Linked DNA regions of Cricetulus griseus. The protein of the gene in region 1 interacts with the protein of each later gene in a biochemical or structural test. Links are inferred from orthologs where the notes say so. Each region holds a gene or a part of one and is shown in the gene's direction. Other genes may lie near its edges. The genes, in order: Ptges3, Tert and Hsf1.

Evidence for each region.
Region 2: the proteins of Ptges3 (region 1) and Tert form a complex in vitro, tested with the Homo sapiens proteins (2 studies listed by BioGRID). The link is inferred for Cricetulus griseus from reciprocal best matches to the Homo sapiens genes PTGES3 and TERT.
Region 3: the proteins of Ptges3 (region 1) and Hsf1 form a complex in vitro, tested with the Homo sapiens proteins (2 studies listed by BioGRID). The link is inferred for Cricetulus griseus from reciprocal best matches to the Homo sapiens genes PTGES3 and HSF1.

What each region holds. Positions count from the first base shown.
Region 1 is NW_023276806.1:129,798,652-129,802,301, reverse strand, and holds part of Ptges3 (prostaglandin E synthase 3), read left to right. Parts: intron 1-1,075; coding exon 1,076-1,189; intron 1,190-1,646; coding exon 1,647-1,716; intron 1,717-2,321; coding exon 2,322-2,420; intron 2,421-3,213; coding exon 3,214-3,303; intron 3,304-3,650. UniProt on the Homo sapiens protein: Cytosolic prostaglandin synthase that catalyzes the oxidoreduction of prostaglandin endoperoxide H2 (PGH2) to prostaglandin E2 (PGE2).
Region 2 is NC_048595.1:368,307,449-368,311,098, forward strand, and holds part of Tert (telomerase reverse transcriptase), read left to right. Parts: coding exon 1-5; intron 6-1,051; coding exon 1,052-1,232; intron 1,233-1,880; coding exon 1,881-2,060; intron 2,061-2,714; coding exon 2,715-2,873; intron 2,874-3,650. UniProt on the Homo sapiens protein: Telomerase is a ribonucleoprotein enzyme essential for the replication of chromosome termini in most eukaryotes. Active in progenitor and cancer cells. Inactive, or very low activity, in normal somatic cells.
Region 3 is NC_048595.1:373,787,151-373,790,800, forward strand, and holds part of Hsf1 (heat shock factor protein 1), read left to right. Parts: intron 1-2,066; coding exon 2,067-2,175; intron 2,176-2,543; coding exon 2,544-2,680; intron 2,681-2,938; coding exon 2,939-3,063; intron 3,064-3,650. UniProt on the Homo sapiens protein: Functions as a stress-inducible and DNA-binding transcription factor that plays a central role in the transcriptional activation of the heat shock response (HSR), leading to the expression of a large class of molecular chaperones, heat shock proteins (HSPs), that protect cells from cellular insult damage.

The sequences.
Region 1 (3,650 bases):
TCCTAGAACTGGCTCTGTAGACCACACTGGCCTGCTTCTGCCTCCTGAGTGCTGGGATTAAAGGTGTTCACCACCATGCATGGCAAACAGCAACATTTCTAAGACTGGGTTGCGCCAAAGGGAAAAGGCACTCCATACAAAACCCATCTTGTTTAAAATACTCTAGTGCTTGGGTTCAAGCCCAGGGGCTTGCTCATGCTATAATTGAGATAGGGTGCTTTTCCGTCTGCTTTCCCAATGCTGGGATTATAGGCATAAACCAGTACCCTCTAAGACCTGCCCTGCTGAGGACAGCAGATTTTGTCCTTATCCAGGTCTCTGAAATTTTCCGCCATTATAATCAAAATGTAGGCTGTTCTTGGTAGTGGGTAGTTTCATATACAGATACACATACATGTACACGCAAATAAATATACTTTTTTTTTTCCTAAGCTGGGGCTGGAGCAATGTCTCAGTGGTTTAAATTTCCCCCTGTTTTTCTTGGGAAGCCAAGTTTGGTTTTCAGCATCTGAATCTGGTGGTTCACAACTGCTTGTCACTCCAGCCTTTCTGACCTCTGTGGGCACTTGCACACAGGTGCATATCAGCAACACTAAGCCAGACCTTCGGGCTTCTGTCTGTAATCCAGCATTTAGGAGACAGAGCCAGGAGGATCATAGTTCTACACAGTTACTTCTAAATCAAGCCATGGCTATATAGAGACTCTGTCTCAATTACCACCTCCTGCAAATAATTCTCTGAAGTTACAGGCACATTCGTGTGTGCCTGTGTGTGTACACACACAAAGAAATGTTTCTTTTAAATTACTATAAAATAAACGAATAGCAATTGATAATATTCATAATAAATTTTACGAGGGATAAGGGGATTTGAAATCTCTCAAACGGCCAGGTGGTAGTGGCTTATACCTTTAATCCCGGCACTTGGGAGGCAGAGACAGGTGGGTCTCCAAGTTCAGGAAGGACAGCTGGGGCTACAGAGAGAAATTGTCTCAAAAAAATGATACATTGTTATATTAAATGTGAAGTTATAAGTATTAAATTCCTGCTTGAATTTATCTTTTTTTTTTTTGTAGGCAGCCTGCTTCTGCAAAGTGGTACGATCGAAGGGACTATGTATTCATTGAATTTTGTGTTGAAGACAGTAAAGATGTTAATGTAAATTTTGAGAAATCCAAACTCACTTTCAGGTAATTTGCTTTTTGTCTTAGGGTGACTATTGCTGTGATGAAACACCATGACCAGAAGCAACTTGGGGAGGAAAGGGTATATTGTTTATTGGCCTTATGCATCCACTGTTGTTCATCAGAGGTCAGGGTAGGAACATGGAGGGGTGCTGCTTAGTACTGACTTCAGGACAGGGATGGCCCCACCCACAGTGGGCTGTACCCTCTCCCATCAGTCACTAATTGAGAAGATAGATGCCTTGCAGTCTTGCCTACAGCCCAATCTTAGGGAAACATTTTCTTATTTGAGGCTCCCTTCTCTCAGATGAGTCCAGCTTATGTCAGATTGACATAAAACTAGCCAGCACTCATCGGTGTTGCCCAGAACTTATTTCAGACAATTGAGTAACTTAAAAGCTTATTTTCTTTTGTTGATCTGTTGTTTAAAGAGGCTGATTTGAATTTTTCTCTTTTTTTTTAGTTGTCTTGGAGGAAGTGATAATTTTAAGCATTTAAATGAAATTGATCTTTTTCATTGTATTGATCCAAATGTAAGTAGTATTAACACTTTATTCTGATTTAAATTATGAGGAAATGGGAATGCTGTAGTAAATAATTAAGTCTATTTGATTATTTGTAGAGCCTGTTACATATTTTGCAACCTTCCTTCCTACATGTTTTTATGTTACTGGACAGATGACAGTACCTTTGAAGCATTTTCCTAAATAATCTGAAATTTTAGTAGCTAAGTGTCTGGGGAAAGAAGCACATAGGTGATTTGTGCCTATAAGGTGACTTTTCAGGAAGTTGAGGCAAGACCGCTTAGCCTACATAGAAGAACCATTTCAGAAAAACAAGCCAAAGAAAAGAAAGTTTAGTATAGAGGATCACCAAAAACTAGTAACACTGAGGTTGGGTCTTGAGTTCAAGACCAGCCAGGCTGCACAGTAATGGCCAAATTATGGAAGTACAGCTTTGTGGCAGAGTACTTCCCTAGTACATTTCAAGGTCCTAGGTTTGGTTTCTAACAATCCTTCCCCACCACTACCACCAAAAAAGGGGGGGGGTTAAGTGGAGAGGGAGAAGTAGAATGGGACAGGCTATTCTTTACCATTTACAGTAGAGGTGAAATGATGTGATGATGCTCTTGTTTTAGGATTCCAAGCATAAAAGAACGGACAGATCAATTTTATGTTGTTTGCGGAAAGGAGAATCTGGCCAATCATGGCCTAGGTTAACAAAGGAGAGGGCAAAGGTGGGTTCTCATTTTCTGTTCTTGAGAAGTAAAATGAATTTTTGTAATAAGATTTTGTTGTTTTGGTTTGCTTTTTGTTGTTTTTGGAGTCAGGGTTTCTCTGTGTAGTCTTTAATAGTATGAAAACAGTGTCCTGCACTTCGCTTTCTTGCCAAGTGTCAGGAAGTCCCCAGTTGATGACAGAAATTTAGCATTCAAGAGACACAACAGGCTTTCGCATCAGGAGTTGGTGGCACGTTTGATGCTAAAACAAATTGGGACAAGCTTGCCTGGATGTCTTAGGGTTGCTTACTATTGCTGTGGTGAAAACCATAGGAAGCAACTTGGAGAAGAAAGGGTTTATTTTGCTTACACTTCCACAGGCATAGTCCATCACTGAAGGAACCTAGAGGCCAGAGCTGATGCAGGGGCCATGGAGGGGTGTTGCTTACTAGATTGTTCCCCATGGCTTACTGAGTCTGCTTTCTTGTGGAACCCAGGATCACCAGCCTAGGGATTACCCTACCCAAAGTGGGCTGGGCCCTCCCCTGTCAATCACTAATTAAAATACTCTACAGGCTTACCTCTAGCCTGATCTTACAGAGGCATTTTCTCAGTTGATTCCCTTCTCTCAGGCCTCTAACCAGTGTTGAGATGACAAAACATAGCCAGCACACTGGGCTATATAGTTGGAGCCTGTCCAGTTTTGGTTTCACTTGGGTTTTTGTCTTTTTTGTGCTAATTTATGTACCCTTAGTGGATGTACGTTCAAAAATCATAACATGTGGTGATGCTTTTGTTAATCTGTGTGTAGCTCAATTGGCTGAGTGTGGACTTCAACAATTGGAAAGACTGGGAGGATGATTCAGATGAAGATATGTCCAATTTTGACCGTTTCTCTGAGGTGAGTTCTCGTAGTGGCATCCTCTACCCTGTAGTCCTTTAATGTGCTTTTCCTTTTAATGTGTATGGGTGTTTTTTGCCTGCTTATGTGTCTGCACCATCAGGGAACCTGGTGCCCTGGAGGTCCAAAGACAGTGTCAGAGTGCCAGGAAATGGAGTTATGCAGAGGACTATGAGCCATTATGTGGTTGCCAGAAGTCAAACCCTGGTCGTTTGCAAGAACAAGTGTTCTCAACCAGCTCCTCAACATCACCTTTTAAAGCTTAGTATTGTGGGGACCTACAAGATGACTCCATGTACATTGTCATATATATAAACATGATTTTTAAAAAATTACTAATGTATAGA
Region 2 (3,650 bases), on another chromosome or scaffold:
GTCAGGTACCACACATCTCTGTTGTCGGTGCTTGCTGTTTACGTATACTGACTTCAACAGTGCTTGGCACCTGCTAGCCTGTCCATGGGCCTTCAGGACATAGACTCCATGTAGTCATGGACTGGAGATCCTGCTTTCTGACCTGTAAAATCTTAAGTTGGGCCTACACCATCTATAGGCTCAATAACGTAGGAGGAATTCGCACCAAACAGGAGTAGAGTAGCTGCTTGTTTGGTACATGGGTCAGATGGGTTCTACCTTATGTCCTGAAGGAAGTACAATATGAGGAGCCTCCTCAGTGGGAAACCACAAGATTCCACCCCAAGAGCTGGCGGAGGCGCTGAGTGGCTGAGGTTCTTTGCTTGTTGAGCTGGGATTTACTGTACCAGTGGAAAGTACATAGACCAAGTTGAGGAGGCAGAATAGATGCCAGGCAAGGCCTGCAGAGATCAGACTGCCATGTTAACCAAGGTTGCCCTGGCTGTCTTGAAACTAGCTCTGTAGACAAAGCTGGCCTTGAACTCAGAGGTTCTCCTGCCTCTGCCTCCTGAGCACTGGGATTAAAGGTGTGTGCCATCGCCACCCGGCTCCATGTTTCATGAAGTCCAACCCTCATTATGTGTTACATATCACCCACTGTGCTTGTGGGATCCTTAGCAGCCAACACAGGACTTCCTATGTACTTTGGCACACATGAACCTGAGGTGGGCAGGGATGCTTTTTGCTTTCACACCTGTGTCTAAGCCAGGTTATCCACAGAGTGCAGCAGATTGCTTCAAAAGTGCCCTGGCCAATGGGATCACCCCAGAAGGGAACACGAGGGCAGACTACGGGATCAGATGTCCCAAGTGCAAACACAGGCTTTATGTCATGTATCCTGCCCAGACAGTTGTGTGGGTTGCCTGGTTGTCGAGAGTTGCTATGGTCCTGGATGTAGTCCCATAGCTTGGCCAGTTGTCAAATGACCCAAGTTCCTAACCACCCTGATGGGATGTGTCTCTCGAATTTCCCACATGCTCATGTCGTAACTCCACAATGCTCTCTGTAACAGGCAACACCTTGAGAGAGTGCAGCTGCAGGAACTGTCACAAGAGGAGGTCAGGCAGCACCAGGAGGCCTGGCCAGCCATGCCCATCTGCAGACTGCGTTTCATCCCCAAGCCCAGTGGTCTTCGGCCCATTGTGAACATGAGTTATAGCATGGGCGCCAGAGCCTTTAATAAAGGGAAGCAGGTGATTGCACTTGGCTCCTGTACTGCCGCTTGAGCCTGCTCTCTGGTTACACAAGGGCTCATGAAGTTCTGAGCCCTGGGCAGACAGAACAGGAAGGACGAGGAACTGGTTGTTCCCAAGTCCAAAACTTCAGCGTGTGAAAAGGCCCTACAGATGGGAGATGGTCTCAAGAGCCAAAGGGCTTGGGACACAAACCTTGGAGATACCTCAGGGATCCTGACAGGTAGGGTAGATACTTTATGGCCTCCATGATAGGGGCCAAAGTAACCAAGAGGGCAGCTGCCTCCCTTCACCATAGCTGGATGTCCACAACATCTTACCCCTCCCGGTGCCAATGTAAGGTGTGTGGGGTGACTTGTCATTAGTAATGCCCAGAACACAAAGTGAAGCTATTGATGCCTCAGCCCAGCTGGGGGACATTTGTGAGTGAAGTTGATCCTGAACCTGACCCCAGCCCAGTGGACATGTCTCATTAGACGGCAGTGCCCTTGGTGGTAGGTGAGAACAGGTTGGAGCAGGTTGGGTGAGTGCCCCAAATGCAGTCAAGTGACTTAGTGGGATAGGTCTTCTAAGACTCTGAGATATCAGGGTAGTCTGGGACAGTCTGTCAGGTTCGTTTCTAATGTGTCTTTTGTGGCCCTGGCCCAGGCTCAGCATTTCACCCAGTGTCTCAAGACTCTGTTCAGCGTGCTCAACTATGAACGGACAAAACATACTAACCTTCTGGGGGCTTCTGTACTGGGCCTGAATGATGTCTACAGGACCTGGCGGGCCTTTGTACTGCATGTACGCACTCTGAACCCGGCACCCAGGATGTACTTTGTTAAGGTGATCATTTGGACTCCCGCCATCACATTTGCTCCCATGGTCTTGACTCAAGGGACCTCCTTGGAGCAGCCAACACTGGGTGACCCTATTGTAGGTGGTGGTTGAGAGTGCTGGCCCCTGCTACCATATATAGGCCAAAGTTACCGTGGCCTCCTGTTCTCTCTGGAGCAGGGGGACCCCATACTTCTGGGATAGCCTTGTGTGGATTCCCTGGACAGTGCGCTCCAATTCCTCTGGGATCTACCCTATAGGAGAATCCCGTTGGATGCTGGGTCCTACTAGCCATGATTGACTCTGTCTACCACTAGGGCCTGCATGCTTCAGTATCTGTGTTAGGCAGGGGCCCTTGCAGGCTGTGAGGCTCTGCAAGGAGAATGTAGGTTTTCCTTGACCTAAGGGTCTCAATCTGGGATATTGGGCTGGAGAGAGGAATGTAGACCCACTATGCCCCAGGGTCCTTTGTCTGGAATGGGAAATTTGTGGGATAGGCACATGTGGCTAGGCTAGTACAGGAGCATGGAGTTTCTTTCTCCTGTCTGTCTATCTCCTACTGGTTTGCTTAAGGGCAGGTTGGAACCCAGACACCAAGGACAGAGCCAGCAGGACCCCTGGGCCTAGGCCCAACCATGCTTAGTGTTCACATGTGTTCCACAGGCAGATGTGACCGGGGCATATGATGCCATCCCGCAGGAGAAGCTTGTGGAGGTTGTTGCCAATATGATCAGACACCCGGAGAACACATACTGTATCCGCCAATATGCAGTGATCCAAAGAGATAGAGAAGGCCAAATCCACAGGTCCTTCAGGAGACAGGTGAGGCTATGGTGGACTTTTCATCTGTGCTGTGAGCATGCTGGTGGCACAGGGCTTTTCATGTCGTGAATATCTGGACTCTTTCAGTGACACAGGTAAGGCTGTGATAGGTCCACATTTCTGGCATGTCCATACAAGGACATGTCTGTGGCTTGGGTATCCATGGTGCCAGTGATCATTTGTCAGACCCCAGCGTGCCTCCCTCTACAGGACTCCCAATGGAGATCCCCCCAATATCCTCTTCAGTAGGTAGGTGGGGTCTGTGGGTTCAAAGGCAGAGGAATTTAGGCCTGGGAGAGGCGCAAGGTGACTTCCTTTCCCTATATATAGGACATACAAGACTCACAGGCAAGCTTTAACTATACATGCATGATATGTGCAGTGGCCATGTGGCTTCTGCACCAAGGATCACTACACCCAGGCGATTCCTTCCCTACTCTGGTCAGAGCAGCTACCATTGTGCCTCTGTAGAGGCTAGATGACAGCATGTGTGAGTTATTTTCTCCATCCACTACATGGGTCTGGGGATTGCACTTAAGTCCTTAGGTTTGGTGGTAGGTGTCTTTACTTGCTTAGCCATTACACCAATCCCAAGGAAACACCTGAAGTTATACATTTCTCTGCAAGACCCCTCAGTAGTCCCGTACACATGCTGGCTTTTGTCAGTTCATTATCACTCAGTTCAAAACCTTCTCTATTTATTTATTTATTGCAGTTTTTGATATACTCTTTAGTGATTTAGAAGCATGTTACTTCATTATTTTGAAAATGCAGGCA
Region 3 (3,650 bases), on another chromosome or scaffold:
AGACCAGACTGGCCTCGAACTCAGAGATTCACGTGCCTCTGCTGGGATCGCAGGCATGCATCACCACTGCCCCAGCGCTCATTCTTACTCAAACTACCACACTGTCTTCAAACTGTAACCTCAGTTGGCCTATTTTTGTGCTTATTGACATGCGTTTCTCCCTGTTCTCATCTTCCTTGAGTCCCCAGGTGAATTGCTTGTTTGTTTGAGACAGGGTTTCTCTATGTAGCCCTGGCTATTTTGGAACTCACTATGTAGAACAGACTGGTCTGGAGCTCACAGAGATCCACCTGCCTCTGCCCCCTGAATGCTGGCATTAAAGGCATGCGCCAGCACTGCCTGGCTGTTGATTCCTATCTTTAACACATAGCCTGGGAGTTAACAACCCAGCTTTATATCCTATTTCCCATTCCTGCCGGAGGGTGAGCTCATGACCCTCCTAGGTCTCCCCTGAACATGCAACAGCTGTAATGTGTGCATAGCCTTTGGATTCCCAGGAATATTTCAGAGTCCCTAGTGATCCCTCATTCACCACCTTTTAAGGTTTCTGGCTAGCCTGTGTTATACATTGTCTCAGCAGCCATTTCAAATCTTCCTCTACATGTTTCTAAAGAGCCTCTGGACTGTGTCAGCTTCAGATCAAGCAAAGCCAGCCTTGCTTGGAGAGACCTCTAGCACCAGGACCTTGAGCTGTCTCTCACCCATGTTCCCACTGCCATTGCTCCCACTGGTTTCAAAGCTGAGGGGAAGAGTGGGACTGGATGTGTGATGTAAAGAGCCCACTGCTTTCCCTGATACCATACTCCCCCCGCCTCCCCAGTGCTTTTCCTGCTGCTTTGCATTCTCTTCCTCCTGTTTCCACCTGCCCTACTATTTCTGTTTAGACCTGTTTCATTCCTCTGCATTTTGGAAAGCAGCCCCAGTGCTAATCCACTGGGCTCCTTTTCATTTTTTCTACCTGCCTGTATTATAGATCCCCCACCCCAGCGAAGAGACCTGTTCCTTAGCTGATTTGTCTTGTGCATCCATGACGCTACTGTCCCTCCCCACTGTGGGGCCTCCCCACTCCGGGATCTAATGCCTCTGAGTTGCCATGGCACTTCTGCCCCTCCTTGTGGTTCTGGACTGTGTTCAGGAGAGCACACGCCCAGAAGTGCAGCCATGTAGCATTCAACAATCTTGAGTTCTAAAAAGAAGCCAGGCAGTGGTGGCGTGCTCCTTTAATCCCAGAATTTGGGAGGCAGAGGCAGATCTCTGTAAGTTCTGGACCAGCCTGGTCTACAAAAGTGAATTCCAGGACAGTCTCGAAACAACCCCCCACCCCCCAAAAAAAAGAGTGGTATTTCTGAGCAGGACTGTCTTCCAGCAGCAGAAATCCCATTCCTGTTTCTTTAGTTGCCACAATTTGGCTTCATAGAGCTGTGTGATATGTCTGTGTGTCTCTGCATATATGTGTGTACCACATGCATTCAAACCTACAGAGAACAAAAATGGATTATCAGGTCACCTGAAACTTGGAATTCCTGGCAGCTGTGAGCTGCCATGTGGGTGGTGGAAAACAAACTCAGGTCCTCTACAAGAACCATAAGAACTTTTAATCACTGAACTATCTCCATTTTATCTATTCTTTTGTTTTTGGAGACAGGATTTCACTGTGTATCCTGGCTGTCCTAGAACTCACTTTATAGACCAGGCTGGCCTGGAACTCACAGAGAGCTGTTTGCCCCTGCTTCCAAGTGCTGGGATTAAAGGCATGTACCACCACACCCAGCTGATCTTTGTTATTTTTAAGGAAAAATTTGCTGATTAAAGCTAAATGATTAAAGCTAAATGTCCCTAGAGACAACCAGAATGCTGTAGGTGATCTATGAGTCTAAAGTTAGCAACTGAAAACTGCCAGGAAGTAGGATCCTGTCTCTGACTCCATGGCCTGGATGGCAGCCATAGAGTGCTAAGATTGAACTCCCTCCTGCTTCTCTCTGGAGAGAGATGGAGAGGCGCTTCAGGCCATGGTGGAAATATGGCAGCAGCTGCTATATATCGAATGCCCATGTGTCTCCTGACAGAGTGGGAACAGCTTCCACGTGTTTGACCAGGGCCAGTTTGCCAAGGAAGTGCTCCCCAAGTACTTCAAGCACAACAACATGGCCAGCTTCGTGCGGCAGCTCAACATGTGTAAGTACCTCTTGTGGAATGGTAGCCTCCTTCCCAAGGGTGTGGAGAAACAGACCCCAACATATTGCTGAGAGAATAAAGCCTGGGTTGGCTAAGGAAGGATCCTTGTGGGTGTAAGCCTGAATTCCCCAAGGAAGAAAGAGTGTATGAGACCCTACCCTAGTAGCTATACTTCCATTTGCAAGAGAGGAAGCTGAGCAATGACAAGGTCTTTTCAAACCATGATTAACTAGCTATGGTAAATGGACACCAGCCAGAATTTCCTACAGTTTTTTAGAAGGCCCCTTGCCTGCCCTAGGCTATGACTAGGCTGTTGGGGGTCTGGTTCCTGGTCCTCAAGCAGAACTGCCCCACCCCCATATGCACAGATGGCTTCCGAAAAGTAGTCCACATTGAGCACGGTGGCCTGGTCAAGCCTGAGCGGGATGACACCGAGTTCCAGCATCCATGTTTCCTGCGTGGCCAGGAACAGCTCCTTGAGAACATCAAGAGGAAAGTGACCAGCGTGAGTCACAAGCCCTGAGTACAGCCCCTCCCTGTCCTCATATCTCCCTGCAGGCTATGGGCTGGGAGTAGTAGCTAGGTGGTGCTGCAAGACTAGCCTGAAAGCATAGCCTGTACTTTTACTCATCTTTCTCTAACCCCTCCTCCTCCCCCTCCCAGTGTTTCCCAGACTCTCCCCACTCCTTAGATTTCCAGGTGAAGCACAAGAGCCAACCACACTCCAGAGCCACTTCAGACTCTTGTATGCCCCAACCCTTAGGTGTCCACCTTGAAGAGTGAGGACATAAAAATACGCCAGGACAGTGTCACCAGGCTGTTGACGGATGTGCAGCTGATGAAGGGGAAACAGGAGTGTATGGATTCCAAGCTCCTGGCCATGAAACAGTAGGTCCCAAGGCTCAGGAGGGTGGCCAGGTTGCTTTGGGTCTTTATTGTGCAGAGCCATTCAGGATTCCCTCCCCCTTCCCAACCTGCCTTCCATTGTTTCTGTGGCAAAAACTGTGGCCTATTCATCTCCATAGAATAGAGTTGGAACTTCCTACTGTACCCACTTCTCACTGCCCTGCTGGGCTCCACATTTTCAGGATTTGAGCATACAGACCCTCCTTGCATGTGCCTCCCTTAAAACCAGGCTGGCAGGAGCTGACCAGAACAGTCCTGGGGCCAGATCTCCCCACTGTTCTCTATTCCCAGTGGCCCCTACTCCTCCTTTATCACTCAGTACAGGGCATCACAGTCCTCAGCTGCCCTTTACCCCCAACCTGAGGGTACTCAGCAGTTTAGTATCTTTCCCAATGCCCTGCTCTGTATGTCTAGCCAGTTTGTGACAAGTCCTGTGGCCCCCCTTTCAGCTAGGATCCTGAAGTGTACCATCAGGCTCTATCCATGGCCTCCTTCCCCGGCTGACACTTGAATCCTCCCCTGGAAGTATAGCAGAACTAGCAGAGCTGGGTGGTGCTAGTGAGCCCTCA